Arabidopsis thaliana: one gene and its partner. The protein of the gene in region 1 interacts with the protein of each later gene in a pairwise test. Each region holds a gene or a part of one and is shown on either strand. Other genes may lie near its edges. The genes, in order: AT3G60300 and UBC29.

The links.
Region 2: the proteins of AT3G60300 (region 1) and UBC29 interact in a two-hybrid assay, tested with the Arabidopsis thaliana proteins (one large-scale study listed by BioGRID).

Annotation. Positions count from the first base shown.
Region 1 is NC_003074.8:22,283,359-22,288,335, forward strand, and holds AT3G60300 (RWD domain-containing protein), read left to right. Parts: upstream 1-1,904; 5' UTR 1,905-2,012; coding exon 2,013-2,171; intron 2,172-2,338; coding exon 2,339-2,368; intron 2,369-2,436; coding exon 2,437-2,475; intron 2,476-2,559; coding exon 2,560-2,697; intron 2,698-2,984; coding exon 2,985-3,124; intron 3,125-3,227; coding exon 3,228-3,331; intron 3,332-3,400; coding exon 3,401-3,516; intron 3,517-3,598; coding exon 3,599-4,024; 3' UTR 4,025-4,153; downstream 4,154-4,977. Other genes in the region: AT3G60290 (2-oxoglutarate (2OG) and Fe(II)-dependent oxygenase superfamily protein), read left to right, coding at 58-305, 483-1,056; AT3G60310 (acyl-CoA synthetase family protein), read left to right, coding at 4,423-4,650, 4,735-4,921.
Region 2 is NC_003071.7:7,265,806-7,269,589, forward strand, and holds UBC29 (ubiquitin-conjugating enzyme 29), read left to right. Parts: upstream 1-1,916; 5' UTR 1,917-2,074; coding exon 2,075-2,144; intron 2,145-2,245; coding exon 2,246-2,373; intron 2,374-2,558; coding exon 2,559-2,663; intron 2,664-2,788; coding exon 2,789-2,932; 3' UTR 2,933-3,250; downstream 3,251-3,784. Other genes in the region: AT2G16730 (glycosyl hydrolase family 35 protein), read right to left, coding at 82-300. UniProt on the Arabidopsis thaliana protein: Accepts the ubiquitin from the E1 complex and catalyzes its covalent attachment to other proteins.

The DNA of each region.
Region 1 (4,977 bases):
ACACTAGTGTCATTTTCATCCCTCTTATTAATTACATTACTCTGATCTTCTCTACAGGTTATAAACCATGGAATATCATCAGCAGTGGTGAAAGATGCACAAGATTCAGCTACAAGGTTCTTTGACTTACCTGCCGATGAGAAGATGCATCTGGTTTCTGATAATTTTCAGGAGCCAGTAAGGTATGGTACCAGCATAAACCATTCAACAGACAGAGTTCATTACTGGAGAGATTTCATAAAACATTACTCCCATCCTCTCTCAAACTGGATCAATTTGTGGCCTTCCAATCCTCCCTGCTACAAGTAAGTAAACCTATCTAGGCCAACTTCACTATCTGATAATAACTCAAATTTGTTCTCTTTTTACTGGTCTAAGAATCCAATTTCTCAATAGATGTTTCAGAATTTGCAAGAAATTTGTATCTAAAGAATGTGACTCAGAACTGATTTGATCATCTCGAAATATCATTTTCCTATCAGGGAAAAGGTGGGGAAATACGCAGAAGCAACGCATGTTTTACATAAGCAACTAATTGAAGCTATCTCAGAAAGTCTAGGACTGGAGAAAAATTACTTACAGGAAGAAATAGAAGAAGGCTCACAAGTCATGGCGGTAAACTGCTATCCAGCTTGTCCTGAACCCGAGATTGCCTTGGGAATGCCACCACACTCGGACTATGGCTCGCTGACAATCTTACTCCAGAGTAGCGAAGGGCTGCAGATAAAGGACTGCAACAACAACTGGGTTTGTGTGCCGTATATTGAAGGAGCTCTGATAGTCCAGTTGGGAGATCAGGTAGAAGTGATGAGCAATGGCATATACAAGAGTGTGGTTCATCGTGTAACAGTGAACAAAGATTACAAGCGGCTCTCTTTTGCAAGTCTTCACAGTCTACCTATGCACAAGAAAATAAGTCCAGCAACTCAGCTCGTCAATGAAAATAAACCAGCTGCATATGGAGAATTCAGCTTCAACGATTTTCTTGATTATATATCCAGAAACGATATTACACAGAAAAGATTCATTGATACACTCAGAAAGAAAAACCTCTGAAGATGGTGTCATATAACTCGACACGGCAATTCCGATGGTTGATTATTTGGACCTAGTTGCATGCATCTTGTATTTAATCTATGACTATCTTGTGCAAGTGAATAGTCCTTGTTTATATCACATAAAAGTATATTTAGTTGTCATATAAGTGTATCCTTATGCTAGATTCATATTAGTTTCTCATCTAAGAGCAAAGTTTGATAAATGGATCAAAACAGTAAGGGTTAAGACTTATCAAATCTCAAATAAGTTCCAAGACATTCTTCAAACTCTATATAAACATGAATTGTCCTGAAGCTTATAGAGAGAACAAAAAAAAAAAAAATCAACCAGATAACACAGACAATGAAATGAGATGTGAACAATTACCAAACATTTAACAGCTTAAATTCTCCATCTTTACAATACAGGGAATCAAACATGTTCACAAACCAGCCACGTATCGAAACAAGGAAGTAAAATGCTCGATTCAACGACATAAATCGTACAAAATCTGTTAAATAAGCTTGATTTCGTTCCAACAAACACAGAAAAATAAAACTTCTCAGAATTAAAAACAGCTTACCGTCAAGTTCTCTAAGTATGTACGGCCACAGCCTCTTGGTCCCCCGTCGGCAGATTCCCGGTAAAATTTAACTCCGGCATCGCTTACGTCTTTTTTTTATATTTGTTTTATTCCTAATCTTTTTCATATTTACTCTTTTTAACAGATATGTTTTAACATTTACTTATCGAGAATGTAGAAACTTCGGGGATTAGAAGTTAGGGAAAAAGGGTGAATTTGAGAAAAAACTATTTAATTTGGACAAAATCAGAATTATTATATAGTATTGGGCCGTTTCAGATATTTTAGGAAGCTACAATAAAATATATAATGAAAACTATTAGTGAAAAAACAAAAGTCTGCTTCTTCTTCGCCGTCTCTGTGCGGCCTCTTCCTCTTCCTCTTCTAAACAATGACGGAGGAAGAGGTAGCTATGGAAGTGGAAGCTCTAGAAGCAGTTTACAGCGAAGACTGCGTTATACTGGATTCGTATCCTCCTCATCTTCACCTCCATATCAAGCCCCGTACCGCCGAAATCTCTTCTCAGCAGGTTTTTTTTTCCCCCCAATTTGTTCTTCGGAATCGAGAACTATCTGAAAACTCCAGAATTTACGCAATGAGATTGTCAGATTTGGCGATCATCCATATAAGTAATTCGATCTTAAGAAGTAGAAAAATTTAATTGCTTTTGTTGTATGATTTGATGTGACTTCGATTTGCCCAAAATTTGCTTTCAAGTTTTTTTTTTTTTTTGGTTGCAAGAACTCAGTGATCCTCTGAATTTTTTTTTCTCTATGATCTGATGTTTGATGTATAACATTGTTTCTGCTCTGCAGTTTGTGGAAGCCGTTGTTAGATTCCAAGCAGGTTCTAAGGTAGATTTGTCATCAATGTTGTCATTATCCTGGAGCTTTGCGTAGAGAATCATTAAGCTAAAGTATCTTCTTTTGTTATTACAGTATCCAGATGAACCACCTCGGATTAGTCTGATTGAATCCAAGGGTCTTGACGAGCAAAGGCAAAAGCTTTTGATTGGCATAGTGCAAGAGAAAGCTTCTCAACTATCATCTTCTTTAATGCTTGTAGAACTTTGTGAGGTAACTACTCTATATATTTTCTTCTATTCTACTGTACTGTATGTGGAGCAATTCTCCTTCATTGCACCATGCTACTGCAAATCTCAGAATGTGACTTCTTTTCCTTGATGAAAAATAATCGACTGGTAGATTTAGTGTAATTAAAAGGAAATAAGTCGTATGCAGAAGAAAAAGTAGAGTTTTCTGAATCACGAGCAGACGATGTGTGTATGTGCGTGGATTTACATATGCAATCTTGATTAAGATTAGAATGTCATGTAGTGTATACTAAAAATATATGTTTCTAGGAAGCAGTGGAGAGGCTCACAATTATGAATCACCCGGAGGGAGATTGTCCACTGTGTTTGTATCCGTTATTCCCTGAGGATGGCGGGAGTAAACAAATGCCATTTATGAAGCTGATGTCTTGTTTTCATTGTTTCCACTGGTAATGAATAGTTAGCCTCAGTTACAATTCTCTTTCTTATGTTGGGATTGTATTCCAAATGTTTAAGGTGTCTAATTGTTCTTTAATGATTTCAAGTGATCAGTGAGTGCATCATTAGGTGGTGGAATTGGCTTCATGCACAGGAAGAGGCTGATTCGAAATCTGGTGACACTTTACATATGCGTAGAGGATCAACTGCTCGAGAAGGTTTGTATCATAAGGTCTTTTTTTGACGGAAACTACTGAAAAAGTAATCTGAATGAACAAGTATTGCAGGTAATTCTGGATCAGCAGATAAAAGCTTGGGAAACTGTCCAGTGTGCCGCAAAATTTTTCACTCGAGTGACATTGAACATGTTCTTGACTTAGTTGGTGCTCAATCATCTCTACAGGTGAGTGAGCCATCAACTTCGGATTCAATCCAGTGCCTTTCATTGATCTAACCCCTCAATTCACAATTTGGCTTACACGTAGGACTCTAGTTTAATACCAGGCAAGGACCAAGACCCGCTGCTCCAGTCAGATTCAGAGAACATAAGAAGAGAGCGGTTTGAGTCTATTCTAAAGACGCAGGAAGAAAAGGGTGGTTTGGTTCAACCGAAGAAAAACATATCGGTGGTGCCCGGTATGTATCTTCCTCCACCAGCTCATGCATCAACGTCACGAAACGAAGAAGAAGAAGCTGGTGAAAGCCAAGAACAAGGAGAAGAGGAACCCAAAGAAGCTGAATCAGAGACAAACTCTAGCAGCTCCACCAACAGGAGAGGTCGAGGGAGATGGAGAGGCAGAGGCAGAAGCAGAGGCCGGGGACCTACTGTCAATGAAAGGAAGCCGAATTCGCAAGATCCAAGAAAACCGACGAGACAATGGGTGCAGAGAGCCAGAGAAGGAGACAAATAATTTATGCTAATCTTGTGTGATACATCAAACTCAAACTCAAACACAAGATATATATATATTGTGAGCATATTACCAACGAAAATACATTTCTGTGAGCATATTTGTTTCTGATAAAGTAGCTTTAGGAAAATAGCAAGTACAAAAATACAAACCGCTTTAAAAAAAAAGATGGTGTCGTCTCATAATTGGGCCTCACTATCAATTGGGCTTGGGCTTAATATCTTACTTTCTTTTTTTTTTCGTCAAAGTGTTAATTAAGTTCATACTTCATAACTACTCATACCTCAACCGGTTTATGATCTGAGTGGGCATTACAAATATTTGGCTTAACCGGTTCCGAGCCATTTGTAATTTCCGAGTATCTACATCGCCGGCGATTGATTCTGCTCATCTTTTCGATGCCCTCTCCGTCTGCAGTCGCCGATCTCTTGGCCGCTCTTGCTTACAGGCTTCAGAACGGAGATGAATTATTCGAAGAAGAAGAAGAAGCGGAAGAGTCTACTTCTTCTATGGGACTAGCTATCTCGGAGCTTAACCGATCTCTGACTCTGGATATCGGCTGCGAGGATTCTGGGGTCAGGGTTGTGGACGCAGCGTTATCTATAATGTGCTTCAAGGCACCTCAGGTTAGTATCATATCTATCCTGGACTTGCATTGTTTCTACGTAGCTGAGTTCTTACTTGTGAGTGATTTTCTTATTAAAATTCAGGTTTTTGATTCGGCAATTGAGTTTATGGTACGAACAATTGTTTGCGCCTTATCATCTTCAAGCAATTGTAAGGTAATTAGGTATCGAAACGAGGAAACATTACAGTTTGGGAGCTCCAATTTACCTGGCTGCTCTGAAGAATTGATCGAAATCTCTAAGGATATTATTGAGAAACTGTGGGGAAATGGTGCGTTTGATTTAGCTTATCCTAGAGTTATCTGAAGATTTTAACTTTTGTTTGTT
Region 2 (3,784 bases), on another chromosome or scaffold:
CATCACATATTCTCAAAAATGTAAGTAAAACAAAATTTAAAGATAAAACAACTTTAACTAACGAGTGTATGAATCATTTACTTCAGGAGTGCTACGAGGGTAATGTATGGAGCCAGAGTAAAGGAGTTCTCTATTTCCATTGATGATCAAAGACGTTCCATCATAAGTTACTTCTTTCTTTTTATCGACCGATTTCGTCTTCTTCTCTTTGTCATCGCTTGAGAGAGCTCCAGAGAAGGAGAGGAGAATCACGAGAACGGCTAGTAAAAGCCATGAATGATCAGAAGAATGTATTTTCATTTGACTATCTTCTTCTTCTTCTTCTTCTTCTTGAGGATTTTTAAATTTAAACAAGAATCCACCTAAAGGGATATCTTCCTTGTCAGAGAAATAAAAACTTTAGAGAAAGAAAATGAAATAAGAGAATGTTTCGCAGAGAACATAAGGTTTCAGAGAAATTCACGTATTCTCAATTTGAGATTCCACATTTTGTTTGTAAATAAAACTTCCAATAACTCTCCCTTTTATTTCCTTATTTCCTCCTTTCATTTTGTTTTCGTTGAATTTTCTAATTTTAAGGTTTTTGGTTGAAGAGCCTAATTTGGCGGGTATACACACAATGACTTCTCTCAATCACCACCAAAAAGAAATGTGAGCCAATGCTTATGTTGAGAAGGTGCGTATTACACCAAAAAAAAATGGTTCATACGAAACCAATGATTTTATTTTATTTTATTATGTTCATTATAAACACCACTTTTGGTTCTTCTTTAATTGTGGAAATGTGGATTAAATCCATGAGAGATCTAACAAAAATTTGTGTAACCTGTTATCTAGTTATTATTCTTTGTCTACAAGTTGAGTAAATTTTTTTGCTGTAATTTGGATTATCATCGTTTAAACCTTTAGCTTATTTCTAACTTTAAATATCATAACGGCAAAAATTGTAAAAGCTTTGGTATGCTTCTTTTACGTAAAATACATAAATGTGTTGACCGTGTGGTTGAAGATTGAAAGCAAAGCAAACAACATTTGTTACAAAAAAAATGGCTATTTTTTTAAGTAATCAATTAATCGTCTTTTAAAAAATCGAGACCAACTATTGTTGAGAATTATTTTCCTCCCGTAATCACCATCATAAAATATCGGTTGGGCAAATCACGTAGCATGCATGTACATTAACTTTGGACTAACAGCTGTGGAGTTTCTTCTTATAGCAATATTCAAAAGACCTAATAAGTCTGAAATAAACAGAGGCTTGAAGGTTATACTTAGATTGAAAGGCAATGATTTACATTTACATATATAGGTTGATCAATGACGATCTCTACGATATGTTGTGATATAAATCTTTAAAATAAGGAAATAATATATGCATCACTGATTTGTGGAGTGTTCCTCACTCGACGCCACTCTGATTTGTAAATTTTTTATTGTAAAATTTTAAAGTATGTAAATAGGGCCTATAATTTTTTTTCCTAATGATACATGGGCCTATAATCTTAAGAAACTTTTGAAATGGGTCCTATAAGTTTTCAATAACTATTTTACCTCATCAAATGTATGTTATGATTTATGATTATATTTGTTGAACATGATGCTCATCACCCATCACTTTGCTGGTCCAGTGAACGTGGACAATAAGATTAAGAACAAAGGATATTGTAATAACCATTCTTTATGTTAAGTTATTCTGATTCTCAGACTTTATCAAATCCCATTATAGACCGTTCAATAGATATGGTATATTACAGTAAGCATGTACGTAAGACCATCCACTTCAAGGCACGTCTCTCTTTCAGAATCAGAACAAAAGAATGGATCTTTCTCCATTACCTTTATGGGCAAAGCGGGCGGCTAAAAAGAGACTTTACAATGGTAAATCTTTACTTAAACAATGATAAATGCAATAGTGCAAGCATTCCTGTTTGCAAGAGAATCACAAATCTTTGCTTACGGTTCACGCTTTAAAAACACAACTCTCATTCTCCTTCTCTTCACAAACCACTCATATTTTTTTTCACATACTTCTTTGTAGTGCTACTTTCCATTATATCAAACACTCAGCAACCTGATGGCAACGAGACGGATATTGAAAGAATTGAAGGAGTTGCAAAGAGACCCTCCTGTATCATGCAGTGCAGGTAAAGGATCACAATTTGTTCTTAATACAATATAAGCCATGTATCAGAAATTTTTTCTAAAGATTTTGATATTTCCTTTCTCCTTGGTTTGGGATTTTTAGGTCCAACAGGAGAAGATATGTTCCACTGGCAAGCTACTATAATGGGTCCGAATGAAAGTCCTTACTCCGGAGGTGTTTTCCTTGTCAATATTCATTTCCCTCCTGATTATCCTTTTAAACCTCCCAAGGTAACAACTTTCTCAACAATTTTTTTGTTTTTTAATCTACTTCTTAAATCCAATAACCAAAAGGCACAAAACCAACATTAAATATTGGATCGTTTATGATCTTTTGGAACCTTAAGTTTTGATCTTTATTTTCAATCTTTTTCTTCTTCTTTACTCTTGTTGTTATGTTTGTTTGATAAAATCAGGTTGTATTCAGAACCAAAGTGTTTCACCCAAACATCAACAGTAATGGAAACATATGTTTGGACATTCTCAAAGACCAATGGAGCCCTGCCCTTACCATTTCTAAGGTTTGAAATTCTATATATGTATTTAGTTATTTGTCAATATTTTCTATAATTCCATATATCAGATTTGGTATATAACCAAGAAGCTCCAATAGGTAACACAAATTACTAACATTTTGGTATTATAGGTGCTTCTCTCTATATGCTCTCTTCTAACAGATCCAAACCCTGACGACCCTCTGGTGCCAGAGATAGCTCACATATACAAAACTGACAAGACCAAATATGAAGCCATGGCTCGAAGCTGGACCCAGAAGTATGCCTTGTTTTAAAGCTCACAATTCCTCTTTTTTTCCTTTTTATTTTGGTTTGGTCTTATTTGTAATAAAAAAAGAAGAAGAAGAAATTGTTATAATTTTAATACAAACATATATAATATATAAAGTAGAGTTTTCAAAGTTGTTAACTCATATGATTGATGAGATATCGACATGTATTAAATCTAATTTTGTTAATATATAAAAAATCTTCTAACCCTATCGGGAAAATAAAATATATACATAAATCACAAAAATTATTTATATAATCAAAAAATTTAATTATATTTTATATAATAAAATAATTCATATTATTAGCGAATTTGTTTTTTTTAAAGGACCGTTCAAATATGTTTTTTTGTGTATTTTGTCGAAATTTTTGTTATTTTTCTTTTTATTTTGTTAAAATAACTCTAAAATATAGATTTCAAACAACACATAAAATAGTGAGATGCATAGATAAAGGTTATAATGGGAAAACTCAATAGTATCAAAGATAAATGAGAATTAATTATAGTCATGTTTGTGTAAAAAATTTAGGACAAGTTACTAATATTTAAAGTTTAAGCCTAGTTATTTAGTAAACAACAAAAATAACTTACGTTATCTAACGATATTTTTGGAGAATAGATAGATTGAAATAAGAGTTAGAACACTAAATATTGAAAACGTGTGTGGGTTACTATTTAAAATTTAAATATCATAAAGAATTAAAACACGAAGATGAAATATGTAGAAATATTTTTTCAGCTCTTATCCATTAAAATGAAATATATAGAATTAAAATTCAGTATATTTTCATGAAATATATAGTTAAATTATTGCAAAATAGAATGGATAAAATTAAATTTTGGTTTTAAAATATTT